Notamacropus eugenii: one gene and its partners. The protein of the gene in region 3 interacts with the protein of the main gene of each other region in a pairwise test. Links are inferred from orthologs where the notes say so. Each region holds a gene or a part of one and is shown on either strand. Other genes may lie near its edges.

The links.
Region 1: the proteins of LDLRAP1 (region 3) and PSD4 interact in binary tests that used the Homo sapiens proteins (3 or more experiments, as listed by UniProt). The two-hybrid records come from large-scale screens. The link is inferred for Notamacropus eugenii from reciprocal best matches to the Homo sapiens genes LDLRAP1 and PSD4.
Region 2: the proteins of LDLRAP1 (region 3) and MAPK8IP3 interact in binary tests that used the Homo sapiens proteins (3 or more experiments, as listed by UniProt). The two-hybrid records come from large-scale screens. The link is inferred for Notamacropus eugenii from reciprocal best matches to the Homo sapiens genes LDLRAP1 and MAPK8IP3.

Annotation. Positions count from the first base shown.
Region 1 is NC_092872.1:717,850,572-717,861,037, reverse strand, and holds the start of PSD4 (PH and SEC7 domain-containing protein 4), read right to left. Parts: upstream 3,789-10,466; 5' UTR 3,542-3,788; intron 3,240-3,541; exon of another isoform or gene 2,875-3,239; intron 1-2,874. UniProt on the Homo sapiens protein: Guanine nucleotide exchange factor for ARF6 and ARL14/ARF7. Through ARL14 activation, controls the movement of MHC class II-containing vesicles along the actin cytoskeleton in dendritic cells. Involved in membrane recycling.
Region 2 is NC_092872.1:48,926,023-48,935,857, forward strand, and holds the start of MAPK8IP3 (C-Jun-amino-terminal kinase-interacting protein 3), read right to left. Parts: upstream 3,792-9,835; 5' UTR 3,641-3,791; coding exon 3,323-3,640; intron 1-3,322.
Region 3 is NC_092876.1:66,149,040-66,158,442, reverse strand, and holds the start of LDLRAP1 (low density lipoprotein receptor adapter protein 1), read right to left. Parts: upstream 4,649-9,403; 5' UTR 4,551-4,648; coding exon 4,463-4,550; intron 1-4,462. UniProt on the Homo sapiens protein: Adapter protein (clathrin-associated sorting protein (CLASP)) required for efficient endocytosis of the LDL receptor (LDLR) in polarized cells such as hepatocytes and lymphocytes, but not in non-polarized cells (fibroblasts).

The DNA of each region.
Region 1 (10,466 bases), on a different chromosome or scaffold from region 3:
TTGAAAGGATGTTTTATAGAGAGAAAGAACTTTCCCATTGGGCAGAATGAGGAGAAGTGTGTAAACGTGACAAAGGACCAGGTTAGAATGGGAAACACTTTGCATTAATTAAAGATGTCCAAAAGCCAGCTGGGCCTCTAGGAAAGCTGTGGATTCTCCTTATCAGAGGTGTTCCAGCAGAGACTCGATGATCGTTTACTCAGGGAATTGTCATGCGAATTCCTTTTTGGATCTGGCTTAGAGTATATGGCTGCTGAGTTTCCTTCCAAATCTGAAATTCTTCAACTCTCTAATCGCTAAGACAGTGATTCTCAGATGATGGTCTGTGGAAGAGACCTTTTCAGGGTTCACTGTCAAAACTATTTTTATAATAATATTAAGATATTTTAATTTCTCAATACTGATGGATATAAACCACATAAAAAGGGCAATTGGGTGGAGCCATAGCCCATAGAGCACTGGGCTTAGAATGAGGAAGACATCTTTCTAAGTTCAAATCTAGCCTCAGACACTTACTAGTTGTATGACCCTAGGCAAGTCACTTCACCCTGTTTGCCTCAGTTTCCCCATCTGTAACATGAACTGGAGAAGGAAATGACAAACACTCCTTGTATCCTTGTCAAAAAATAAAAACCAAACCCAAAATAGGATCACAAAGAAGCAAACACGGCTGAGATGACTGAACAACAACAAACCCCACATAAACAAAAGCTCTTTGGGTGGTCCTCAATAATATTTAAGAGAGTAAAGGGGTCCTGAAATGCTCTGAGATCCCTTTCTAGCTCTAGAGTTCCAAAAACTTATGAGAAAGTTTTTTGAATAAATGCTTCCTATTTCCTGGACTGTCAGTTCCACAAAGGGAAGGACCATGCCTTTGCAGTATCCTCCCTCAGCATCTTGCACAAAATTAATTCTATCTCTGTTGAGCAAATGAATGAACCTGGTTGGCCTAACCCTGCCCTGGTACATTATGACAGGGGCTGAGGCCATATCCTTGAAATGTTCTTAACTACGTCCACAGTATCATGGGACCCCAAAGACATTCAATTAATCATATGTTACATTCAATCAGTTCTGGGCTAGCTTGCTCAACTGATTCAAGCAGTGGGTTAATGAGGTCAAGGTCACAGGCCTGATCCCTGGGTGGGCCACTCAGTTGTCCTCTGTCTCACCACCATGTGCTTAGTTCCTCACCTTAGCCAGTTGTCATGACCACACATGCCTTTGGTCACAAGAGGAACTGGATGAAAGAACAGAGAGAATGTAGAGAGAATACAGTACCATTCCATTCCCCAAACTGGAAAAACCACTCAAAGCCTATGTATCCTACCATGTACACCAAGAATCACAGGATCCCCAGGATTCTGGAGCTGGGGACTGGAAAGGGTATGGACTCCTCATTCAGGTCCTGCCTCTGACATTTTGTACCTGCTGGAAATTGGATAAATCCCTCAACTTCTTCAACTTCATTTACTTCTCTGTAAAAAGGGCAGCTAGGTGGTACAGTGAATAGAATGCCAGGCCTGCAGTCAGGAAGACTCATCTCCCCAGGTTCAAATCTGGCCTCAGATACTTCCTAGCTGTGTGACCCTTGGTAAGTCACTTAACCCTGATCATATCTGTTTCCTCTTTTGTCAAATAAGCTGGAGAAGAAAATGGCAAACCTCTCCAGTGTCTCTCCCGAGAAAACCCCAAATGGGATCATGATTGCAAACGACTGAACAAACAAAAAGAGGGATTGGGATGAGATGACCGCTGATATCTCTAGGAGCTCCAAATTTATGATCCTAATTTTGCTTCATCACCAAAAAGACGAGGAACCTTAAGAATCATCACCATTGTCACAATAGCTAGCACTAAGTGCTTTAAGGTTTGCAAAGAGCTTTACAAATTAGATCTCATTTTATTCTCACAACAACTGCTATTATGATCCCCATTAAACAGCAGCTGAGACAGTTTAAGGTTAAGTGACTTGCTCAGGGTCACACAGCTAGTAAATTTCTGATGGGAACCTCACTCTTTCTGACTCCAATTCCTGTTTCCTATCCACTGTGTCACCTGGCTTAAATTTTAGAGTTGGGAGCACCCTTCAATATGATTTCAATTAAAACAAAGCACTTGCTTTCCTAGAAATGTCAGTGTTGCCCACTAGGCCAAGATTTAAAAAATTAGAAAGCAGAAATCCAAGTGAAGAAGATGTGGTGCATATGAGAATCTTTCTTTCCAGAGATTGCTTCCCAATTCCTTAACTTATTCTTTTTTTTCTGTCTCTGGAATTCAGGTGCTACCCCAGCAAAGAGGAGAGCATTAGCTCATGATTGATATTGTTTGTGCTGTTAGTAATCATTGTATGTATACAGTGCTGTAAGGGTATGACAAGATCTTATTTGACATATCCTAGGTAAGAACAAGAAAAAAATGAGTTCCAGTGACTTGTCTAAGGTCATACAGCTGCTAAGTGGTGGATTTGGGACTTAGCACTGGTCTTCTGATTCCAAAACCAACTTTCTATAATGTAATGCTCTTTCTAGAAGTTTGATTGCATTGTAGGTATTGAGAGAGGAAAGTATGAACCAATCCATAGAGTGCTGGAGCTGGAGTCGGGAAGACCTGAGTTCAAATCCGTATTCAGACACTTAAGGGCTGTGTGACACTGGGTAAGCCATTTAATCTCATCTACCTTAGTTTCCTAAACTATAAAATAAGGATAATAACAGTACCTATCTCCCAGGATTGCTGTGAGGATCAAATGGGATAATATTGGAAAGCACTTGGCACAGTGTACGCACACAGTAGGTGCTATTTAAATGCTTATTCCCTTTCCCCTAAACAAAGTGAAATGACATTAAGTAGTAGTTTTAAGGCTCAAGATACCTGCACGTGGTCCTTCCTTTTGATATTCAGTAACTTCAGCTAAATTTCTCCTCTTGCCCTTTCCCACCTTCTTCCGCCTCTCGATTTGAATCCTCCACAAAATGCACAGGGAAACCACACAGACTTCCGACACATGTCACCTTGGACAAGTCACTTAACCCAATATGCAGGGGCAGGAGACCTGAGGCCAAGTCTCTTCAGCACCAACAAGGTGACGCTGAGGAGTTACCCGATCCCCTTGTTAATCCTCGTTGCGTTGGACCTAGATCTCCCAAAGCAGGCAGAGCCAGAAGCCCCTGCTCGGAGTGACAGCTCATTACCACTGCCCGTCTGGGTGCTTGCTGGAGAGCTCCCGCTGCTGCCCGCTCGCCCTCCTCTCTCCCAGCCCTACTCCAGCGTCCTCACCCCAGTCCTCTGGAGTTCCTGAAGCTGACCTCGTTCCAGCGTGACTCCCCCACCCCGCCCCCATCTCCCGGCAAACAGCCGGGCCAGATTCTTCCATTCATTTCCTGAGCGTGGCATGAGGCTGGGAGGAGACCGGGGCGCAGAGGGGGCCCTTCTCTCGGCTCAGCCCTCTCCTGTCTCCCTCCATGGTAGTCCTCTCTTCCTCTCCTCCCCTCCGCTGCCCTCCCAGGGACCTCAGCGGGGCAGGTTACAGTCCCCTTACCCATTTCCTCCTGGCCTCTGCTGGAGGCTCCTACTCTCTCCAGGTACCAGCCCAGCTGCTCCCCCATGGCTCCACGCCCAGCTCTGGGCCAGGGAGGGGGGCAGAGCTTCGGGCTTAGGGAGGGGTCTCAGCCAGGCCTCTGCCCACAGAACTCTCCAGGGCTCCCAGGAGACTGCTTTCCAGCATACCGAATGCAAGACAGAACCGGCAGGAGCCGCAGGAGAGGGGAGCACAGCTGAAGCTCGTCCGACCGGTTAGACAGCTGCCGTCATCCTCCCGGGGGCATGGGGCTGGGGTTGGGGCGTGCCCTTCGCGCCGTGCCAAGCCGCTCCTCTCGAAAGAGGACTGCTCGGGTCACGGCCAGCCAGGGCAGTGCCCGTAGCCCCAGGCACGCCTTCCTGGAGGTCGAGCTCAGGACTGGGGCTGTGGACCCCTTCCCCTTCCCCACCTCCCTCACTTCCGTTTAGTACCTGACCAAAAGGGACCTAAAAGTCTCTGGCCTGGATCGCTATACATATATTCTGTTGGAACAGTAAAAAGATGACTGCATCTGGTTTCAGACACTTACTAGCTGTGTGACCTTGGGCAAGTCACTTAGATCGCTACTTGCCTCAGTTTCCTCTTTTGTAAAATGCGGAACTAGACTACACTGTCTCTAAAATCCCTTCTGGCTCTATGATCTTATGATTCCATAAAGGTTCTGGGCTTCCAATTTCCTTGTCTATAAAATGAAGGGAGTGGACAGGATGACCTCTGATCTCATTCTCAACTCCTAATCTATGACCTCCCTGCTGCTTAGCATGGAACGGCAGCCTAGCCCAGCAGAGAGATCACTCTCTCCAGGTTAAGGAACTGAGTTCAAAGCCTGCTCAGATACCTGTGACCTAAGTCATTCATGTAATGGGTCAGGCCATGCATGCAATCTCCCTGGGCCCTGTTTCTTCATATGTGAAATGAAGCGTTTGGGCTAGGGGAATGGCCTCTGAAATCCCTTCCAGCTCTAGAGTTTCTAGCTGTGAGACCCTGGGCAAGTCCCTTAACCATTGCCTGCCTCAGTTTCCTAATCTGTAAAATGGGGATAGTTATAACAACACGGTTATAGGTTATAGCAAACCAAGGTTGCTGTGAGCATCAAATGAGAGAATATTTGTAAAGCGATTAGGAAGATGCCTGGCACATAGTAGGTGCTGTATAAGTGTAAGTATTGTTATTTAATATAGCAGTTATTTTCAACCTTCTTCAAGGTCTTTCATCCCCTGGCCTACTGAACGTCCAGATTCTGGCAAATAACTTAGGGAGGCAGTTGGTGAAAGTGGAATGAGACCCAGAATAGGAGTCAGGAGAGTTGGCTTTTAATTCTGACCCTCTGCTTCTAACTAGCTTTGTGCCTGAAAGCACACAACTTCACTCCTCTCTTCCTTTAAACGTTCCTTTCCTAGATTGCAGATTGAGTTTTGGACATGCTGCGTTTGAGATGTCTCTGGGATATGCAGATGGGGATCACCGACAAGAAGTTGGAAAAGGAATATATGTGTAGGCAGGGATGAGACTCCGCTGGGTGGGCAGAGTGAGGGACTGGGCTAGGCCCAGGGAATTATATAACATTGTTCCGATTTAAACTGTTTTTTCGAAGCTGTGTGTTAAGCTGAAGCTCTCTAGAGCAAAGAGTCTTAATCCAGGATCTGTGGGTTTGTTTTATTTTTTAAAAAATCTTTTGATAACTATGTTTCAGCATAATTCATTTCCTTTATAATCCTCTGTATTTTATTTTATGCAGCTAAGAAATGTCATTTATGCTGAGAAGGCATTGACTTCTCCAGACTGCCAGAGCAGCCCATGGTACAAGTTAAGAACTCCATGACTAGACAATCTCTAAGATCCCTTCCAGCAATAAAACTCTGACTCTATACTTTTATACTGAGGAAACTGAGTCAGATACAAACTCTCTTGTTGAGGGCAGCTAGGTGGTGCAGCGGATTAAATGTGTGACTTGGAGCCAGGAAGACCTGAGTTCCAATCCTGCCTCAGACCACAGAAATATGGCCCTGGGTAAGTCACTTAAGTGCTGTCTGCCTTGGTGTCCTCATCTCTGAAATGGGCATAATGATAGTACTGATCTGCCAGAGTGGTAGTGAGGATCAAATGAGATATGTATTAAGTGCTTTCCAACCCTTAAAGTGCTATAGATGTGTTAGCTCTTATTATCTTCCTTTCTTTCCATTTCAGAATAATTTTTCTACTGTAACAATTTAACAAACATTTCTTAAGTACCTACTATGTGCAAAGGACTGCCTTTTGCCTTTCTTTGTATCTTCAGTCCTTAGCTCAGTGCCTTATACATAATGTTGCATTAAGTGCGTGTTGTTGGGTCATTTCAGTTACGTCTGACCCTCCATGACCCTATTTTGGGGTTTTCTTGACAAAGACACTGGACTGGTTTATCATTTCCCTCTCCATCTCATTTTACAGATGAGGAAATGGAGGCAAACAGGTTTGAGTGACTTGTCCAGGGTCACACAACTGATATGTGTCTAAAGGCAGATTTGAATTTAGGTCCTCCGGACTCCAGGGTTGTCCGCTGTACCACTCAGCTCCCCCTAGGGGCTTAATAAATGTTTACTAACTGACTGCAGGGCACTGTGTTAGTCCTTGGTAATATAAAGACATAAATGAAGCAAACCCTGCCTAGCAGGGGCTTACATTGTCCCAAGAGGATAGAACACGTATAATGCGTTCGTCCTTCATTGCTGAAGAAGACTATGCCATCAGAGAAATAATGACATGACTCGCACTTGACTTTTTGTTTTTTGAGTGAGGGAGGGCTGTGCAGGTCACCAGCCTCACTTCTCCTCCAGAGCCATCTGAATCCACAATGTTAGTTTAGTAGTCACTTAAATCTGAACTCTTTCTTCAAATTTCTCTTATTGACTGAAATTTTTATTGCACTATAGTCTATAAAGAGATATTTACAATTTCTATCTTTATGTATTTATTTGTGAGTTCTTTTCTCCTTTCTTTATATAATTTTTTTTAAATAAAGGTACCATAGAAAGTTGAAAAATAGATTGGCTCTATATGGTTCCCATACAGGAATCACCAAAGTATCTATCTAATTTTCTAGAAATCTGTTTAGGATATTAATTTCTTTGTTTTGTTAGATTTGTCTAGATTTGAAATGGGCTTTGCAATAATTATGGCTTTACTATCTAGATCTCTCTGTGATTCAGTCAGCTTTTCCTTTAAACAGAATAATGCTGTGCCATATATGGATATGGGTGTGCATGTATATATACATATTTTACATATAAATACACATATGTATGTATGTATACACACATACACATACAGAGGAGCCATCTACTGTCACTTATGGCCAATGTGACTTTGAAAAAGTCAAGTAACACCCTTGGACCTCACCTTCTATATCTGTTAAATGAGGAGATGGATGAGACAGATTCAGAGGTACCTTCTAGCCTTACATTGGTGCTTCTATGATCCTCCAGGCCTGTCTAGGTATCTTCTTAGACCTTGATTACACTTCAGACCTTAGACTCTCTTCTGGAAATATGCTGGGTTTCCTGACTCACATTTCACCCACATCCTTTCAGATTCCTTTTCTTTGCTTTTCCTCCATAACTTCTAACATCGCAGTGAACTACATTATCTTTTCTATACTGAGATATAATATAATATAACATAACAATATAACATAACATCAGGTAAGATCAGGTAACATAATGTAACAATGTAACAATGTAACATAGCAATGTAACATAATATAATATAATGCAATACAATTCAGTTCAATATAATTTAATATGATGTAATTATATGTAACACAATAATATACAACAGTAAGATTATTATTCAAGCTAAATCCACATTGCAAATACTCACTACTGAGTGAGTTATTAGTTAATCACATTATCCTGCAAGACCCAGTTCCCATGGCCTGAGGCATTTATTGTGCTTATCAGTGATTTGGAGCTTATCACTACTACCTTGCACTTTGAATCATCTTTTAATGCTTCAGTGCACCTAGAATTCCCCTTTCCTATCTCCTCCCCTAAATTAATTCTACCTGTTGAAATCCTCTAAGTCCTTCAAGACCCAGTTCCAATGCTGCCTTCTTTATGGAGTCTTCCTGATTTCATCTTTTCTGATTGGAAATAACTTTTCCTTTCTCAGGTTGTATTCGTACCTTCTATATTCACTTATTTATTGTATTCTATTTTCCATGATCACTCTGAGTTCTAATTACGTATGCCTGAGTCTTATCCCTCCTCTCCCTCAATTATGAACTCCCTGAGGGGAGGGGTTGCACTCAGCTAAGCCAGCTTCTCTACTGGTCTTCCCACGCAGTGATCCCCACAGCTGAAAGTGATCTTCTCAAATTTTCTCAAAACACTTTGCCCCTATTTCTCCTTTGTCCCTGTCCATTCTATCTGGAATTATATCTGTCTGTGTACATGTCATGTCATGTGAGCATCTCAAAGGCAGCTGTGTGTATGTATGTACACACACTCCCATACCCATGTAAACCCATTTTTGTACACACACATGTGCATACATATGCATATAGAGAGATACATATATCTAAACCCATATATAAATATACACATAATATATAGGAGTGTATACTTATACACATACATGCACACACATATACATATATACATATGTGTATGCATATACATATATATGTATGTGTATATATATGTATATATGTATACTTATAGGTAACCCCAAATAGAATTGGTCCATGAATTTGTCTTTAAAAATATATACATTGATGACTATTCACTGTAATTGGATTCTTATGTTATTGTTTGCATTTTATTTTATGTTTTTAATGTTATTATTCCATTTGAGAAGGAGTCCAGAGGCTTCGTCACACTCCAAAAGTCTCATGAAGCTGTAAGATTAAAAACCTTTGATGTAGGATCCTTTCTGAGTGGTAAATATAAATCCAGGATTTGTGAAACTGTTCTTCAAGGAAAGCCTGCCCCCTGGTGGAAATTGATTTCATTGCTTCTCTGAAATCCCTTCAAAGCCTGAGTTGAAATTTGCTAAAGTTAACCCAGCTAAGAGAGTCACTTCACTTTTTTGGTGAGAGCTGAATTTTATGCCAAAAATATCTAAATTAGCTTTTTGGTAACATGGAATTCCTTTTCTCACCAGTCTCTTGATAAGATACACTTAGTGTTTTTATAATGCATTCAGCACCATACGACACCTATTATGAATGCGAACTGACTCTTAGGCTGTAACTAGGACAGGGCAAATAAGACTTTGCCCTACACCAATATCCCGCTCTCCACCACCACCACCACCCCCTCCACTACCCCCACCCCTCACCCCACCCCCATCCCACCATGGTAACCACCATTGGGAGGAAATGAGGATAAGGACCTACTATGTGCCCAGTACATACAAGTAATAAGCATTTTTACATCTTACAACTGAGGAAACCGTGGTGAACAGAGGTTAAGTGACACTCCAAGGTCACACAGCTAGGAAGTGTCTGAGGCCATATTTGAACTCAGGTCTTCCTAACTCCAGACCCAGGGCTCTATTCACTAGGCCACCTAGTTTCTACAATTTGTTTATGATGTCATCTTTCATGTCTAAATCAAATATCCAGCTTGCCGTGGTATACAGTGAGAAATATTGTGGATATCTAATGTCTACCAGATTGCTTTCCAGTTTTCCCAGCAGTTTTTATTGGAAGAGTTTTATCTCCACACACTTTTATCAATATAAGAGAAAAATGACATCTCAAGAAATTAGAATGCTGCTAAATATACTGCAAAAACAATAAACACGTAAGTATAAATTTGAAAATTAAAGAAGATCTAAACAAAATTGAAAACAAAAGCCGCCCCATCAATACAACTGTGAAATTAACAAAAGTAACCAATAAATAACTGAAGTTGTAGCTACTTTGGTACATAAAAGGAGAAAACAAAATTAGAATACTTAAGAAATCGAAAAAGAATTCATAACAGATGCAGAAGAATAAAGTAATTTGCTGAAAACTATTTTGCCCAATTATACTCTAACAAATCTGAAAATGAATACAATGGATTACAATAAAAATATAACATCCGTATTGATAGAGAAATAAAGATTTTGATTTCTCCTCAGCCATAAGAAGGAAAGAATTGTTAGGGGTAGGGATAGGGGTGGGAGTCATGGGGCTGATTAAGTACTTTCTTTGTGACTTGGGGACCATCCTATGTCAGGCCCCCCCAATGCAACTGCAGTGCTTCTGTCTGAATACACCTCCCCAACCCCAAGAAATGGCAGACATTGATTATTAATGGTCCCAGATCTTTACAGCCTCTCTCTTCTGCCTTTTTCCCTCAAGGTAGAATATATTGTGTGGAAGTCATTTGGTATCATATTGGTCTCCAATACTGGCTATGCTTTTTCCATTATCTCCAGGACACTGCAGTCATTAGTTGCCTCAAATTCTCTAGAGAGCTTTAACCCTGTTTTTTGTGTAAGAGAAACTGAGGATTGGAGCCAGAAAGGAGAGGGTGTTGGAAATCAGATCCTGCCAACCTCAGTTGCCTTCCTCACTCCCTCTCTGCCCTAGGACTAGGAAAAGATTCATATACGAGAAGCCAATGTGATGAGTTTTTCAAGGTTTTATTGAACTGATGCAGTAGGTCACAAGACATACAAAAAAAACCCCAAAACCAAAATGCCTGGTTCACAAATCTGAACCATTAGCATCTCCTATAGTTCTCCTGGGTCTATTTCTTGGTGGGGCAGGTTTGCTTTCCCTGAGGGACCGATGGGGACCCTGAGACCAAGAGAACAGAAAATCAGGTAACATTTGCTGGCCAAGCTTAGAACCAGATTAACTTTGGAGCGGCAAGAGTCCTCAGAGGTCACTTCATCCAACCTTGTCATTTCA
Region 2 (9,835 bases), on a different chromosome or scaffold from region 3:
ACTCTAGTCCCTTCATCCCAATGTTTTCATCCCAAAACAGCCAATTTTAAAATGCTTAATTTAAGGATGTGCTCAAAAAGTTGTGAAATTATTGTTTTTACCATAGAAGCACTGAATGTCTTTCAAAGCTCATACAAAGTCAATTTAAACTTGTAAGCCTTTGTTCAGTTATCATTTCTCAGTTTAGAGGAATAAAAACAAACAATACAAACGATTCCACCTAAATGCCACATATTTCCTACTGACCTGTCCCTTAGATGGCAGATCTCCGAATTCCTTTGGCTATACTTACTAAAGGTGGAAGGTAGAAAATAGCGCTATTTGCTTGTATTGTCCAAGGCTTAGCTCTGAAAAACTGAAAGATCTTCCCAGCTCAGGAACACCCAGGCAGCTCAAGTTACCCACCTCTGACTAAGCCTTCTTGAGTACTGTAGCTGGGGGAAGGTACCTACAGCACTGGTTTAGAGATTCTATGAGTTGGAAGAGGTAGCAATAAAATTCCCCCTTCAAATCTTTCTCCACAAGAAGCTGGTTGATAATCTTTAGCCAAGAAGATAGTCGGTCCCTACTAGAATTTTCCCAGAGACCACATTTACACATGTACAACAATCTGGGAATGATCATAAGAACAAAGAATTGAGTTTGTTTGCATGTAACTTGCAAGAAAAGTAACTAGGTATAGTGGTTTCAAGGCTGGGCTCTGATTTATAAATCTGCACTCTGACACATCATCATCATTTTTCAGTACACACACACGCATATATATATGCATATATATATACACATGCATATATATACACACACACACACATACATACACATATGTGCGCATGCGCGCACACCCCCCATATATTACTTTAAGGTTTGTAAAATTTTTTATAAATATGGCCACAACTACCCTTGGGGACTAGGTGCTATTATTATCCTCCTTTTTTTTTTTTTTTTACAAATGAAGAAATAGAGAAGGAAAGAGACTAAATGACACTTACTTAACTGTGTGTCTGAGGCTACATTTGAACTCAGATCTCTCTGACTCCAAGCCAAGATGTTCTATTAAGTGGCTCTTCAACCTCAGGCAAGTCACTTGACCTTTTAGGGTCCCAACCCTCCTTAGGTTGTAAAAGAGTTAAAGATTTAGAGAAAAGAGTTTTTAAGTTCTTGACTCCACCCCTTACTCCCCCCAAAATTACATATATTGTGGAAGATTGCCCAGTCTATTTATTGGAAAGTTTGACAATAAAATGTTAATTCATGAGGTAGGTCCATGGTAATTAAGCACTGGGCCTGGAGTCAGGAAGACCTAAATTCAAATCCAGCCTCATATACTTGTGATCTGTGTGACCCTGGGCAAATGACTTAACCTATATCTGCCTCAGTTTTCTCAATTATAAAATGAAGATATTAGCTCTTACTTCACAGAATTATTGTGAGGATCAAATGAGATAAAATATAAAGTACTGAGCATAGTATGCTATATAACATAGCATAGTAAGATTACTTATTCTCCTCTTAAGTCAGGAAATTTCTTGAATTTTATCTTAAAGGAATAATTTCTTCTCTTCTCTAAGATGGGGTGGGGGTGAAATACTGAGGGTACCAGATTTAAAAATCATGGAGGTAAGAGAAACAAACATAAGATTTTGGTACAACAGTGAGTTACTCTAACACAGGACCAGAAGTTTGTTGTGTTCAAAGACAACTCTTATTTTGACTAGAGGTAGTGTGATATAAGAGAAGCAGCCTGGATCTGGAGTCAGAAGGCTATGGTTCTAGTTCTGGCTTAGCCACTATCTAGTGACAACCTTGGGTGGGTTATATAAACTTTTCAGGTCTTCCATTCCCCCTCTGTAAAATGAAGGCAATGGATCAAACGATCTGAGGTCCCTTTCAGTTCTAACATTTTATGATGTATGTATAATCTTTAGTATTCTACCTGTAAAGAATGAGTTTGATGCTTTATCAGATATTGTCATTAGGTCTGAGTATTAGTATCAATTTTAGAGAAATATGGTGGATATCACCATCAACTAAAGAACACTTGCTTGACAGAAGGATGAAAAAACCTATCACTATCACTATGGTAAACATTAAGTTCATTCAGAGGGTTGTTTTATGGTTTTAGTGTGTCAAAACATTCCTTGAATCTCACTAAGAATACATCCTAGCTATGGTTTAAAAAATTTGTAAGTTCTTTCTCTTATTTCTGCTTTAAATCAGGATCACCATGTGGACAAATAAGAACATGGATAACAAAATTTATCATAAAGGAGTTTAGAAGCTTCCTATTTTGATAAAGAACCTTACTTTTGTCTGTAACACCTATGTATTTATGTACATACAAGCTGGGTTATGTGTATATATATATATACACTATGTATCTATGCAGGGCAAGAGTAGTGGCATTCTAATAATACATCGCTTTCTTCCAAATGCCTAGATGTCTGTTTAAATTGGTTCACATGCAGTTTTCCAGGTTATAGAGCAAAAATATTTCCTGATCAGAAAAATCCTATTTCTGCCCCCTCCAAAACCACACAGGAATTTTCCAGGATTTTCTATAAATGCACCCAATCTGACCAATGTAGTGACTTAAAGGGCAAAAGAGTTACCAACAAGGCATGATGAACTCAGCAGTAACCTCAATCACACAGAAACCAAGAGCAGTTTTACCTAACAGATGAGACAGAAGCTTTGGAGCTTTTGGCTCTCATTACGTGTTAGAAGCAATTTAACTGATTCTTCTGCCCAAAACCATAAAAGTCTTGGACAGGAGGGCACAAGGGAAAAAGCCCTTCCCAACGACGGCTTCCTACTGCAAAGAGGGTCTGTTTAGGCTGACTGCAGCGGGTAGAGGCTGGTCTAGGGAAGTAATCAGGCTTGGGCAACACAGTCTCAACAAACAAAACCCGATGTGAAGTCAGGATTGACGGCTGAGAAAAGACGCCGGGCCTTCAAGGATGGGGGCTCTATTTAGGGATCGCGGCCCAACCGGCAGCTGCCACCAAGACGTGTGTGACCTTGGGCATTCCTCGTGGGGCTGGGCTAAGTGCTGGGGACAGCAGGGTGACCTCGGGCTTCTCACAGGGAGCTTTCGGCCAGGGACACCCAAAGAAGGGATGCCTCTCCCTTTCCCTCCGTGGGTGTGGCCGCAGGGGAGAAGGGAAAGGCTGCAGAAGCTCCCTGAGGCCGAGTTTGGGGGCTCGGGGGGGAGGAGGCGGGGGTGAGCCGAGTTCCTGGAAATGAAATAGGGTGGAGGGAAGGAGGGGGAGCAGGCCCCTCCCGCTCCGCTCGGCCCCGGGCTCGCCCGCGGCTCGCTGCCTACCTCCTCGGCCTGCTTGCGCAGCGCCTTCTCCCGCTCGTACTGGGTGAGCAGCTGCTCGTTGTCCTCGCGCAGCAGCTCGAGCTCCACCTCGTGCTCCTGGTTCTCGCTGAGCACCGAGTCCAGGTTCTCCAGCACGTTCACCACCAGCGGCATCAGCTCCTTCACCACCTCCTCGTCGTAGCAGCTGATGAGCCGCTCGAACTCGCGGTAGATGGAGCCCGCCAGGCCCGACACCCGCTCCGACATCACCGAGCCCGAGCAGTAGTCGTCCTGGTACACCACCACCCCGCCGCCCTCGTCCATCTGGATCTCCATCATCGTGGCTACCGCTGCCGCCGCCAGCGCGGCCTGCTGCCTTCCCGGCCGGGCCTGGCTCCGCTGCTTCTCGGCTAGGTGCGCCCAGCTCCCCCGCTTCCCCGAGGCCGCCGCAGCCGCTCTGCTCTGCCAGTCATTCACCGGCCGGAAGTCCCGCCCCACCTCCCGGAAGCCCCTGCTCCCCCTCTGGAGAAAGGGGAAACGAACGTCTCCCAGGCAACCGCCTGCGGGTGCGCTGACACGTCCTCGCTAGGGGGAGCCGAAGTCGTGAAGGAGAGGAAGGGGAGCATGCGCACTGCTGCTTCAAGAAGCCGCTTGGCCTGAGGTCTTTTCGGAGCACTTCCGGCGAAGTGCGACTCTCTCCCGGTCACCTTAGAAACGTTCTCCCCAATCTCTGCCTCTGGATCAGACTCCCCAGAGAACAGAATCCATGACGGGCAGAGGGAGGGGGCGGGGCTGGCCGGAATGAGGAGCGGCCGCGGTACTTGGGGTTACGGTCCAGCCATGTTAGGTGCAGAGGGGTGCACACAGTCGGGGTGGCCTAGGAGGGAATGATGGAGAGCGCATCTGATCCCGGAGGCAGTCCGCAGCTCCTCGAGGTTACTGGGGAGGTCCGGGATGGTGTGACACGGGAGACACGGCACGGACCGCCCCGCATGGCGTGCCCACATCGGGGAAGGGGCTGGGCTCTGCGGGCAAAGCGGAGCGGACCTAGCCCAGAGAAGGGGCAGAGAGTCACGTTCAGAGAATCCACCCCAGATGTTCGCGCCCACCCAAGCTCTCATGGTCCCATCAGCCAGCCTCTAACTGGACTCCAGCGGTGACGTCATTCAGCCAAGGACTTGGTCAGACTCATGTCTTAGAAAAGCTGTTTGGAAGATTGATTTAAAAAATGGAGGGAAGAAATCAGACAAAGGAGGGTCCAATGCTAAGGCCACTGTAAGAGGTGACAAATGCTTGAACTGGGAGAGTGGTCATGTGAGTCAAGAGATAGGGCAGATTTAAGAGAGATTTTGGAGATTTAATCATAAAATTCCTAAGAGCTGGAAACTCTTAGATCAATGGGCTGAAGAAGAAAGAGTGCAGGATGACTCCAAAGTTTCAAACCAAGATGAAGGCATCCATCCAGGAAGGCTACAAGTGTAGATTTTTCTAGAACATAAATTCTGGCTTGGGTAAATTGAGTTTGAAATACCTATAGGGCATCTAGTTAAAATGTTGTGTTTGTCCTTCCTTCTTGATGAGGACCATGACATCAAGATGAGGACCATGACATCAAGATGAGGACCATGACATCAAGATGAGGGCATGACTTGCAGCTGACTTTGCTTTGAGTGAGGGAGGGCTGTGCAAGGTCACCAACCTCACTTTCTTCTCCTGAGCCATCTAGGTCCAGTGGCCTGATACTCATCAGGATGACCTGCCAGGGTAAGGAGGGATTAAAGAGGCTAAGGTCTGCTAAAATGGGGACCTATACTAGACTGGTAGAAGTGAGAATGAATTTGAGAAAGGTTGAATGAGAAATCATAGGACTTGGTAACAACTGGTTACCAAGGCAAAAGAAGATAAATTATGCAAATAAAGTGATTAAAATGTCCATAGACTTTGACCAAGAGACTCCTCTACTAGGCTTGTATACCCAGTGAGGTTATAGGATAAGAACATCCCCCTACACACCAAAATATTATCAGCAGCCCTTTTTGTGTTAGCAAAGAATGAGAAACAAAACAGATTTCCACTGACTGGAGATTGGCTAAACAAAATGTGATATATGAATGGAACAGAATATTATACTGTGCTTGTAAGAAATGATGAATGTAATGAATACAGAAAACCATGGAAAAGATTTACAAGATTTGATGCAAAGTGATGTAAGCAGTCAAGAAAACATATTCAATGACTACAACAGGGGTGGGGAACCTACAGCCTTAAGGCCACATGCGACCTTCAAAATCCTTAAGTGTAGTCTTTTGATCGAATCCAAATTTTATAGAAAAAACCCTTTTATTTTGTGGCCCTAAGGCCACAGGTTCGCCACCCCTGGACTACACAAAGTAAATTAAAAGAAATATAGATTTGATAGGCAGTTAGCAATGCAAGATTGGAGTTCAGGAAACTAGGGTTGGATGTGTAGATTTAGGAGTCATCTGAATTGAGGTCATAATTAAACCTATGGAAGCTGATGAGGTCACCAAGAGAAAATGAGAGACTGGCAGGAGGCACCTTTCAAATCTATAATTAGCGTGAGATTTTATAATCAAATGAGGCTAGGAGAACACAACGTACAAAATAAGTTTTCAAAATAATTACAAACTAACCACTTAAGGAAAAAATATTCCAAGTCTAATAAAAGAAATGCAAATAAAAAGGCTGAGGCTTCACCTCATACTCATCAAGTTTGCAAAGACAAATATCAGCTTTGTAAAGGCAGTGAGAAACCAGGCACAATAATGTACAGATGGTAGAACTGTAAATTACTCTTCTTGAAAACTCTTTGTTGTGGTTGTGGTTTGTCCTTCATTCCTGAAAAGGAACATGACATCAGGAAAATGATGCCATGACTTGCAAGTAAATTGGATTTAAGTAAGGGAAGGCTGTGCAAAGTCACCAGCCTCACTTTTTCCTCCAGTCATCTGGGTCCAGTGGCCTGATAAAGATCAGGATGACTGGAGATGGCCCCTAAAACTCTTTTGTAATTACTCAAGTTACTAAACTATTCATGTCCTTTGATTCATACACAGATCATAACACTGGGGATATAACCCAAGGAGGTCAGCAGCAAAAACAAAAGCCCATGAGAATATTCATAGCAGTAACTTTTTGTAGTAGCAAAAAACCTGGAAACCAGTAGAGGCCTATCAAATGGAGAATGGCCAAACAATCAGTGTGTCACAGGAATATAACAGCGTACTACTGAATCATAAGAAATGATTCATAGGAATTTAGAGATACATGTGAAGACTTGCATAGACTGATACTGAGTGGAGAAAGCAAAACCAGGAAAATATACACAATAACCATCCAGCAACCATGAAGATAACGTGAAAACAATTTGGTAGCAATGCAATGACTAATGTGGAGTCCAAATTACATGATTCTTCATAGAGAGGTGGATTATTGTCACCTGCTTGGGGACTATTGCTGCTCTCTGATTGGGCCTGTGGCCTATTCTGCCATGCTGCTACCACCAGTCCACTACCTGGGGCTTACTTGAAAAAAAGGAAATTTCCCTTTTATCCATCTTCTTTCAACAGTTATCTGTCTGGGCCTGGGTACTTTTTCCCACCCACCCCCATGCCCTCTTTCTAGCTACACATGCTGCATAATGTCTTGAAGTCTCCATCCTAAAGTTAACTCCTAAGGAGATGTTGCTAATTTATCTAAACCCATTCCTCCATGATCCACAAAACTCCCAGTCACCCAGGATTGAGGTGTCAACCTCAACCCCATTTTCTTACTCCTCACATGCAATCAAATCATCTTGATTATGTTGTCAGTATCTTATACACACCATTCTCTCTTCTGTCACTGCCACCATTCCCAGTACAGGCACTCATCACCTCATCTATGGAAGTGATAGCAATAGCCTCCACCTTGGTCTTCCTGCCTCAAATTTCTCCACTCCAGTTTAATCTCCATTTGGCTCTCAACTGATCTTCCTAAAGCCTAGGTCTGCCCGTGTCACCCCCTATTCAATAAACTCCAGTGATTACAATCAACTCTAGGATCAAACATAAAATTCTGGCAAAGATTCCTCTATAATATGGCCTCTTCCTACAATTCCAATATTATTATGCCTCATTCCCCCTGCCCCCTATAATACTTTGTGATCCAGTGATACTGGGCTCCATAGCATTCCTTAAACAAGACCTCCTGACGCCAGACATTTCTTGTTTCCATGCCTGGAACATTCTCCCTCCTCTTTATCATTTGCCCTTCTTGACTTTTTCCAAGTGCCAGTTAAAATCTCATCTTCTACAGGAAGATTTTCCTATTCTCCTTTAAAATTATTAGCACCTCCTGTTTATCTCCAATTTACTTCATATATATGTAAGTGTACATGTGTAAGTACATGTATATACACACACATCTTATTTGTACAGTTGTTTGTATGTTGTCTCTTTCCCTTAGATTATGAGTTCTTTTTGAGCTGGGACTGTTTTTTTTTCTTTTTGCCTTAGCACGGTGCAGGGCCACAGTAAGCACTTAAACACTGCCTGTACCACATCAGCCATCTTACTCAAACTCTAGTATCGGTTGCCTTTGGCAAAAACGATATTTTTCTTTGGTTTTTAAAGCCCTTCACAATCACCTCCAGTCTATCCGCATTACTTCCCTTCCTGCATTTTAGAGTCCAACCAAACTGGCATTCTATTTCTCACATATGGTACTCCAACTTCTCTGTCTTGCATTACCTGTCCCCCATACCTGAAGTGCATTCCTTTCTCACCTGACTCAGAACCCCTCTTATTCAAGTAACTGAAACACCACCTAGCAGCAACCTTTCCTGACCCTCCCACTGGTGCCCTCTTGCCCTAACAAGACTCTATTTATTCTTTTTATGTTTTATATGTACATATTTTTTCCCCAATTAATGTTAATGCCATGGGATTTGTTTCATTCTTTTTTCAGCACTGAGCAAAGTGCCTGGCACATAGTAAGCCATTGTTCAGACACTGGGAGTAAATGAAATTGTCAAGGGAGATTATTTAATTCTAACATGCCGCTTTACACTTTTTAAGAAAACTTTCATATATGTTACTACCTTAGCTCACCCTGCCCCCCTCCTAAAAAGGAATGGAAATTGGGCTTTTACTTATACTCAGTGACTAGCACCATGTCTGACTCACAGAATGCATTTAACATATTTCATTCATGTAGAGAATGAAAGAAAAATTGGACCAAGGATGGAACTTTTGGCAACACATTTTGAAAAACATACTTGCTGATGAATAAATATGGACAAATATTTCCTAAACTTTTCTATGCTACATGGAGGACCAAAGTAAGAGATAAAAGAATGGAACAGAGATTAGTTTTAGTATTGCCACCTTTAGTGTGTTGGAAATGGGAAAGGGGGGGAAGGTGTAAGGTAATGGCATCAAACTCAGAAAGGGGGTGGGGGGGCCCACTAATCAGAACCTGGCTTACTTTCAAAATGTCATATTTTTATTTATTTTGTGAATTCTTTCCCAATTACATTTTATTCTGGTTGGGCTTCACTGGGAGCATCATGGATCTTATGTTTGTGACACCTCTGGAATGAGAAAAAGTAAACTGTACTAAGATGCCACTTTACACTATTTTAAATAAATACCGTACCTTAGCTCAACTCCTGCTCCACACCCTCCCCCCCCCCCCCCCCACTTCCCTCCAACTTTTCTAAGTGGGAATTCAGCTCCTTTTGAGTAGGGATTGTTTCTTTCTTTGCACCTGTATCCCCAGTCCCTAGCAGCACACTTGTTAAAAAGTAGGCAAAATACTTGTTGATTGATAATAGCACCTAAGGAGGATGCAAAGGCATTGAGTATGACCATTTCAAACTTCAGTTGTCAATGTTGTTACCCAAACGTGAGTATGTTTATCATGTAAGTTTTAAACACAACATTAGCAAGATCATAGCACATACATACAATTCACATGAGCTGATCAACAGAAGAAATAGTAACATCTCCATGAGATTTTGAGGAGGAAAATTAGAGGGCAATTCTCAACAGCCAGTTATACTGCAAGGAATTCAATTGTGAAATATAATCTAACAATTCAGGAAACAAAATTCAGAAAGCTCATTCCTGAGGGGAAACTTAAATGCTCCATTGGACACGTGACTCTTGTTAAAACATTCTAAGACACTTAAATGACAAGGAGGGTGGGGATCAACATTAAACAGCCACCTTTAATGCTGTATGCCTTTTCTCAACACACAAATTTACTTCAGCTCCAATAAATGCCTTTTCATTTTCTTGCAGAATTGAATTTGATATAGTAACATCCTGATGTTACACATAAAACAGGAGTCATACTTCATTAAGAGTCTACTGGAAAGAACGATACTTGGGCTCAAAAAGAAGCATGAAGTAGATATAAAAAGTACAGGATTAAACAGGAAGAAGTGTGCTTCATTTAAATTTTGCCTAATTCAGCATTACAAAAATAATAGGACTGGATACAAGTCACACCCTATGAATCACTGTATAC
Region 3 (9,403 bases):
AGGCAAAAAAAAAAAAAAAAGTCCCTGCCCCCAAGGAGCTCCCAGTCTAATGGTGGAAACAACATGAGAACAACCACATACAACCAGTCTTTTAAACTAGAGCTTTTTGGAAGTTCCAAGCTCCAAGGATAGGGACATACAGAAGTAGGATAAAACTTAGCAACCACTTCCCTTCGGCCCAACCCTCACCTCCCAGGGCCTTACACAAACATACAGCAGACACCTATGGAACTCATCATGGGCAGGTGACAATTAAAACACAACCACAGAGAGATGGGAGGCAGGGAAGAGAACCCAAACCCTGCTACTTAGTCTGTTACTTTATATCTGAGCCTCAGTTTCCTCATCTGTCAAACAAGATGATTAGGCAAGATGATCCCTAAGGTATCACTCAGCTCTGAATCTATGGCCTTATAGGTTAGCTGACCTAGACTAGAGTCCAGTCTAGAACACTTACTGGCTCCAGGTCCAAGCACCTTCTGCACCTCAGGGTCTTCATCTATAGAATGGGCCCAGTCAGACTCATACTCCCCACCTTACAGGTCCAGGAGGAAAATACTTTACATTAAATTCTACAAAAAGTCTGTTGAATGAACGAACCAAGGCGGCAGTCTCAGTTCTGTAGTATCAGATGACCGGTTGGTTCCTTTTCTTTTTTTTCATTAGATTGTGAGTTTCCAGAAGATAAAGCCTGCCTTTTGCTTCTTTTTTTTTTTAATCCCCAAGGTTTAGCATAATGCCTAGCACATAGAAGGTGACAACATGTATTGATTGACTAACCTTTGAACCCAATCATTTCCTCTCCTCCTCAGGTATAGACACTGTTGTCTCTTCCCCAGTGCCCATGAGAAGAGCCAAAGCAATTAACCAGAGATCCAAGGCCCAGGCCAGGAAGCAAGTGATTAAACAGACAATGGGTACAATCAGGATAACAATTCAGTAAGTATTTATTGGGCATCTACCATATTGTAGGCTCTGTGCCAGGAAAACAAAGTCTCAACCAAAACAGTCTTTCTCCTTAAGGAACTTCCCCTCTACGGTCCTAGGTACACGCAGAATCCAAGTTCTGGCCATGTCACATCACCACAACTACCTTCAAAAACCATCAATGGCTCCCTACTGTCCCTAGGATAACCTAGAATGGCATTTAAAACCCTACACAATCTGGCTCCCTCTTCTACCTCTGCAGACAGTTCATGTTACTTACTCCCTTTCACATTCTCTAAAGCTGAATTGTTCCTCCCCCCACATGACATCTCTCTCCAATTTCCATGCTTTGCCTGGAATGCATTCTCCCAGGCTTAGAATATTTAGTTTCCTTCAAGGCTCAGTGCAAGCAAAGGAGACCCAGGGACAAGTAGCGGCAGAAAAGATGCTGCAGACAGGTCTGATCAAGAAAGAACATGGGAAGCCTGACTTCAGAGGTGTGATGAGGAAACGGGCCTCTCTCCTCTTCCTAACACGGAGAGCTCATCCCAGAGTGGAAAAGGCTGCCTCAGGAGGCAATGGAGCTCCCTGCTGAAGAGGCCTGTGATCGAAAGGGCTTCTTTGGAGGTATAAACTGGATTAAGTGGAGACTGGTGTCCCTTCCAATTCTCAACTTCAGTCTACTGAATTCTCAACTTTTGTGCCTAGTCTGGTAGAAAGTCTGAGAGCCACAGGTCAATGGAGCACTTTGGTAACTGTACTTTGTCACAAGGGTGACAGTGTTTTAAAACGCATCAATTTAAAGAAAAGCATGAGCTCAAGAACTACCAAAAATGGATGGACAGCAGGGTAGGTCCAGGGGAGGAGGCTGTTTCTCTAGTCCAAAAACCCAAGTTCTGAGCCTGGCTCCTTCTAAGGTGACTTCAGGAAACTCATTTTTCTTCCCTGGGCCTCAGTTTCCCCGGCCAGGATTTTGTAAAGGTCTCTTCAACTCTCTAAGTCTGTGATATTATGACACCAGAATGAAGTGGGAGAGAGCAAGAGAGGCAGAAGGAGACAAGAGAGAGACAAGGAGAGAGGGGGAAGATACAAGTATAGATAGAAAGAGGGATGAATGGGGAGAGAGGGAGAGACAGAGAGAGGGAGAGAGACACAGAGGGAGAGATAGAGAGTAAAAGAGAGAGAGGGAGGGAGAGGGAGAGAGAGAGAGACAGAGAGACAGAGACAGACAGAGAAAGAGAGATAGAGACAGAGAGACAGAGAGAAAGACAGAGAGACAGAGAGAGAGACAGAGACAGAGAGAGACAGACAGACAGAGAGAGAGACAGAGAGAGAGAGAGACACAGAGGGAGAGACAGAGAGTAAAAGAGAGAGAGGGAGAGAAGGGGAGAGGGGGAGGGAGGGAGAGGGAGAGAGAGAGACAGAAAGAGAGAGAAAGAGAGAGACAGAGAGACAGACAGAGAGAGATAGAGACAGAGAGAGAGACAGAGAGAAAGACAGAGAGACAGAGACAGAGAGAGACAGAGACAGAGAGAGACAGACAGACAGAGAGAGACAGACAGACAGAGAGAGAGACAGAGAGAGAGAGAGAGCCAGGAACACAAATAATTGAGATAGAGCAAATGAACATCACTAATTCAGTGTTTACCCAGTGGGCACTGTGTACCTGGAATCTGCTAAATACCAAAAGAAGGAGAGGTATGTGTTAGGGGAATTTACAGAGAGAAGCGGACAAGAATGGCAAAAACCTGGGACAAAGAATCCTTAGAAGCTTAATCCCTGGAAGTAGACTCCGTCATGGACCCACGGGAGGAGGGTCATACTCAGAGGCCCCTTCATGCCTTCCTGCTTCTCTCCACACACACTCAGAGGACCTTGGAGAGACAGGTCTGTCCCCCCCACCCTCAGGGAGAAGGAGCTCATTGCCCCCAGCTCCAAAACTGACCACACACATACACATACACACACCCTCCACTATACTTTATTGGATCACAGGGTTTTGAGCTAGAATGATTCTTAAACCATCTAGTCTAATTCTTTCATTTCTCACACAAGGAAACTGACTTATCCAAAGCCACATGAGACTTGAACCCAGGTTTCTCTAACTCCAAATCCAGACCTCTCTGACAGTTTGCTACCTGTGACCCCCTTCACTAAGGTATCAACATCTGGTCCCCCTCTCCCATTTAGAAAACTGACTTCCCCACATACTTACACGTGTGTAGATACACATACACACACACAAACCAAGAGAAAGTGATACCCTCTCTCTGTGTCCCAGCCCCCACAACTCTCCTATCTAGTTCCCTCCCCAAAGCCAGCAGGGGACCATGCACTGCCCATTGGCAGACCAACCCCTGCCTACATACAAATAGCGGCTTTCTGCCAGTTCTCAGAAGTTTGTTTGTAAATCTCACTCCTAAAGGGCCCTGGCCTGGAAGCCAAACAGCCGCTGCAGTTCTTGGGGTGTAAGGTCAAAGGGTGGATAGTCCAAGAGTCCCAACCCGATCAATCAGCCTGCCGCCCCAAGCAGATTTAAGATCCTGGCCTCCTAATCTCTCTCTAGGCTCCCAGGGTTGTGTGGGAGAGGCTAGGATTACCAAGGCCACCCTAGCCTGCTGGCCAGGCCTCTCCTCATCTGTCCCTGGGGCTGCCCCCCTCCCAACTTCTCCAGGAAAGGCAAAACCTCATCGGTCAGTGGTTGTGGGGGCTTCCCTGGACCCCAGGGCTTGACCAAGCCCGACACACTGGGTATGCCCGGAGAAGGCAGCGTCTCCCACCTTGGCCCCCAGATGTGGCCCAATGAGCCAGGTGGAGGCTGGGAGCAGGGCGGTGCTGAGCCTTGGCACCTCAGAAGGCCGGTGCCCCAGGGGGCACACCAGCGCCGGCTGCTGCCAGCTGCAACAAAGGTGTGACGCCAGCGGGGCTCGTGGGGACAGAAGCCCGGGGACGGGGGCTGGGGGTGGGAAGCAGAGACCGAGAGGCTTTAAAAATAGCCCAAAGGCCTCCCCACGCCCCGCAGAAACTGGGCGGGGGAAGGGGATAAAACCACAAGTCCGCTCCCAGCCCCGGTCTCTCGGAGCGCCGGGCAGGGAGGCCACGTATCGCTGCCCCCAACATGCAGGCAAAGAAACTGAGGCCCGGGGGGGGCACCCAATCACACTGCCACAAAGTGCTCGGTGGCGCTGGTCCGGTCTCCAGGGGCTGCCCCCCACGGGCCCCCCGAGTCTGGGTCGGCGGAGGGTGGGAAGGGGGTACCCCAGGACCCCCCAAGCTGCGGGATCGGGAAAGGCTGGGCCCGGTGGGGGCGTGGGGGGGGTCAAGTACTCTCCCGAAAGTGAAGGGCTCCACGCGCGCACACTCACACGCGCACACGTGCACCCCCGAACAGGTGCTGAACCCCGCGCCGTGGCGGGCCCTGACCTCCCCGGCCCGGCCAAACTCTGCCGAACTCCGGGCTGGAGGCCTCCCGCGGGAGCGGGGCGGGGCGGGATGGGGGAGGGGAGGAAGGGGGCGCCGAGGGGCGCACACTCACTCCGGTGCCGCCCGCTGCCTCCCCACGTCTGTTTGGCAATGCTGGGGCTGCGGATGAGCGCCCGGCCCGCCGACTTGAGCGCGTCCATGGCCCGGCTCCGGCCGCCGCCGCCGCCGCCGCCAAAACTCTCCGCTTGGAAAAACTTTTCCGCTGGGGCCCGCGAGGCGCGCCGCCCCCTCCAGGCCCCGCCCCGCCGAGCCCGCCCCGCCCCCTACACCCCCTCGGGCCCCGCCCACACGCGCTCCAAGAGAGGGGCGGGAGGATGCAAATGAGGTCCCGCCCTTCCCTCCCCGGAGCCTACAAGGGCTCCCCGGGGAGGGGCGGGGCTGAAGACGAGAAGGCGGAGCTGATGCAAATAACCTAACGTCACCGACCCGGCCCCCCTCGCAGAGACAAAGAGTGGCAAGGGGCAGGCTGGACTCTGGGCTCTGGACTCTGCCCCAGACCCTGGGAGGCGCCGCCTAGAACCGTCTGGGTTCTCTTGGCTTTCCGAGCACCCGAGCGGGGCGGGGCGGAGCAGGAGAGCTAGCCACCCAGCCTAGTCCCCTTTCTGGTGCCTCGAGGTTCCCGCCGGCCCACGCCGGGGTCCCCCGAACTCCAGCCACGCAGGAGCTGAGCCACACACGAATGGAGGTGGGACAGGGTCGCCCTCCAGGCCCACCTGCTTTCTCTCTGGGCTTGCAGGACCCTAGAGCCAAGGACTGGGCCCCCAGGCTGAGAGATCTGAAAGGGACCTGCTTCATCATCCAAGGCCGGGACTCTGCACCCTGGGTCACTTCCAGGGGGTCCAGGAACTTGGATGTCCCAGAACATGCATCTTTATTTTCGCTAATCTCTAAATGAAATCTAGCATTGCCTATTCTACTGAGATGCCCATAGCTTCCACCAGACTGGCAAAGAGGTCCTTCATCAAATCCAGCCCCCCCCTTACAGATTAGGAAACGGAGGCGGAGGCCAGAGACTGAATTTGAGTTCTGGTCTTCTTGATTCAAAATCCAGCCCTCTGGTGAGGGATCAATCTGGGGCAGGGACCCAGGAATAGAACCCAATAGAAAGGTCTGTTGGAGGTTGAGACCCCATGAAATGCAGAAGCCTGGGCTCTTTTTTAACCTAAGACTGACCCCCACAGCAGGTGTGGGAGGTGACAGCTGGCATTCTTATCTCTAAACAGGCTTCCTGAAGGAGTCAGACATGGAACCTGGCTCATGAAGGAGAACTCTGGCAGAGAACTGACTGGAGAAGCTGGGGGAGCTGTGAGTGAGAAAGGAGCAGGCCCAGCCAGCCTCGGCCATGAGCACCTGCACTATAGCCCAGAGAGCCCACTTCCCCCAAAATAATACTAAACAGCTGAGTCTTCTCCCTTACCCTTTTCATGAAGCCCAACTCTGCCCCTCCCTCCAGATAAGGGATGAGTTTCCCAGCTTCTCCCCTAGCAAGTGAGGGAGGTAGCTAGGTTTCCAGGTGACCCAGGTGAATCATCCACTGGCTCAGACTCAGTCTTAACCCTTCACCTCATGCCCTGCCCTGGGGCTTCTCCTTCCATTGGTTCCACCACACGCTCCTCCTTTCCCCAGCTGTTTCCTTCGCTCTGCCTGAGTCTGAATGACTCCTCTGCTCTCTCCCCAGCTGACTCCTAGCCTGAAAAGGTCCTGTTCTTCCTCAACCACCACGCTCTGCTGGGGTGCGTAGGTGCTTGTACTTGGACCCCAATTCCAAGATCGCATTTCTCCCTAGCTTCCAAACACTATCCCTGACAGTTTTCTGCCCAGCCCAAGGACACTATACCTAGCAATTACACGAGTGGGCCCCAGTAAGACAAACTCTCTTTCCCCATCACAAAAATAAGCTGACCTCCGAAGAAATTCACTTGTAAAAATAGGACTATCTTGTGACCACAGAATTATCATGTATTGATTCCCAAAGTTATATTCAATCCAGAAGTCAAGCTATAGATATCAACTCAAAGTCAAAGACCAAAAATACACCCCTGAGAAACCCCTCCCCCTAGTTTCCAGTAGTGAATGACACCTGTGACCATGGTTATACATTATCACCTAATTAGCACATTTGCCAGATAATCCACTACTTTTCCTATATAAGATTTAGTATCATTCCTGTTAGGTTTCAAGTTCCTTAAGGAGCTCTGTCTGCCACATTGGAATTAAAATAAACCTTTGCCACTTTGACTTAAAGAATGCTTGAGTCTGTAAATTCATTCCTGAGAACCCTGTCCAGTACGTCCATCCTTGAGGGGTCCCTGAACCCCTTAAAACTGCATCAGCTCTACCTTCTTCCTGGCCTCCATTCCACTCAGGCTCTTCTTCCCAAACTGGGGAAGTCTACTTGTTACTTCTGGGAGGTTTTTTAAGGGATTCCTCATATACCCTACAACATACACCTTAGCTAGAGGGACCTTAGAATCAAGAGTGTCAGAGCTGGGAGGGGCCTTTACATAGCATCCAGATGACCCTGTCATTTTATAGCTGGGAAAACTGAGACCCAGAGAGGGGAAAACACTTGCTGTAGGTCACACAGCTAGAGTCAGAGCTGGTCCCAGAACCCTTTTTGAAAAATTTATTCTTGGAAATATGTTTTGCATGACTGCTCTTGTATAATCTATAGCAAAGTATTTAACTTCTCAAGGAGTGGGGGAGGAAAGGGAGGGAGAGAATTTGGAACTCAAAAATTACAAAAAACAAATGTTAGAAATTGGTTTTCATGTAATTGAGGGGAAAACATTCTTTAAAAAGGAAAAAAAGTTATTCTTAGTAAGGAGTCTCTAAGCTAAACTGGATTAGTGAATAGATTTAGGCTGTAAATTTAATGTTCCAAAGGACTTCGGAGGTCTCTGATAGCTTTTGTAAATACAAAATTAGTAGAGTCCAGCAATATTAGAGTTTCTGGATTGCTCTGTTGTAGAGAATGTGTTCTGATGGTTAAAGAAATATACTAAGAGACAGGAGACTAGGATTCTATTGTCTCTAATACCTCTAAAAATTGTGCAAGTTTGGGCAAGGATAGATTCCTCTCAACATCACTTTCTTCATCTATAAAATGAGTTGGATTAGATAATTCCCCAAGACCCCTCCCAGCTCTGACATTCTGTGTCCTAAGGGCCCTCTCAGCTCTGACATCATGTGTTCTAAGGGCCCTCCCAGCTCTGACATCATGTGTCCTAAGGGCCCTCTCAGCTCTGACATCATGTGTCCTAAGGGCCCTCTCAGCTCTGACATCATGTGTCCTAAGGGCCCTCTCAGCTCTGACATCATGTGTTCTAAGGGCCCTCCCAGCTCTGATATCCTGTCTTCTAAGGGCCCTTCTAGCTCTAGTGTTCTATGTTGTTGGATTCCTTTCAACTACTAATTGTAAAACCCTGGGGAAGTTACTTAATCTCCCTTCCTCAGTTTTTCCCATCTGTACCATGGGGATCCTAATAGCACCTACCTTGCAGAGTTGTCCTGAGGATCACATGAAGGTAACATATTTACAGAATTTTTCAAACCTGAAAGTACTAACTGGAGATTAGTTACTATTACATGTTCTACATTCTTTCATTCCAACTCTAATTCACTCTTGATCATACTTGGTTAGGCCCATTCCAGCTCCTTGCCTCCATGAGAGCTGAGGCAGGTACCTGAAAGCTAACACCTAACAGTTGTTTATCTGAGCTGGGTGATGCCAGCTAGGGCCAAGGGACCTCTCTGTCTAGGATATAGAAGGGACAGTTTTTTTGAGGGCAGTGATTCTGCATTTCTTCTCATCCCTCTACACAGGAGTTATCCCCATGGCCTCCCTAGGGCTGGGCCACACCCTGCAACCCCCAGACGCAAGGAAGGCCTCCCTTGATTCAACAAGCTGAGTCAGCATGAGGAGGGTTGGCCTCCACCCAAGGAATTTTTCATTTTTTCTCATTTGCAGCCTGTAGCCTCCACCTCCCTGGAACTTTTAAACACAAAACCGCCTTCCATGGTTCCCCATAACTCCCTGTTTCAAATGGTTTAGAATGTGGCTTCCTCCTCCCCCTCTGGATGGAGCCTTTAAAGATCCCAAAGATGATGTAGTAGACAGAGAACTGGCTTTGGAGTCAGAAAAACCTGAGTCTGAATCCTCAGATACATATTAGTTTCATAATCCTGGATACACTCACACACACACACACACAGAGATCACATACACACCCCAAAAAGAAAAAAACAAAACAAAACCTCTCTGTGCCTCAGTTTCCTTACCTGTAAAAGTGCTGGTTCTGATGGCCTCTAAGTGTTCTTCTAGCTCAGAGGCAGCTAAGTGGCTCAGAGGATAAAGTGTTTACCCTGGAATCAGGAAGACCTGAGTTCAAATGTGACCTCAGATACTACCTGTGTGACCCTGGACAAGTCACATCATTTCTGCCTGTTTCCTCAACTGTTAAATGGGGACCCATAATAACCTGTATCTCCCAAGATTGTTGGAAGAACCAAATAAGATAATACATGTAAAGCACGTAGGATAGTGCTTCACACATAGCTGATGCTATATAAATGTTTATTCCCAACTCTAAATCAATAAAGACTATGTATAGGACACACTGCACAGCAACGGTGTCACACTCAGCTAGAAACAGGGGTCACTAAACAGAAGGATTCCTACTGTCCGTGTAGTGACTTAGAAAACTCCATATTAATATTATCTATATTCTATTGCACTTTCATTTATTTTGTTAAATATTTCCTGGTTGCATTTTAATCTGGCTGTTGTGTTTCATACCTCCGCTGTACAGTACCCATATCCTATATGTCACAATACTAATAACTACTGGTAAGAGGGTTGAAGATTTGTCTAGTACTTGAACCAGCTAATCAAGTATTCCTAAAGCACCTACTATGTACCATTTGCTGGAGAGATGGACAAAAAAGAAGCCGTCTCTGCCCTCAAGGAGTTGACATTCTCTTGGAGAAACTA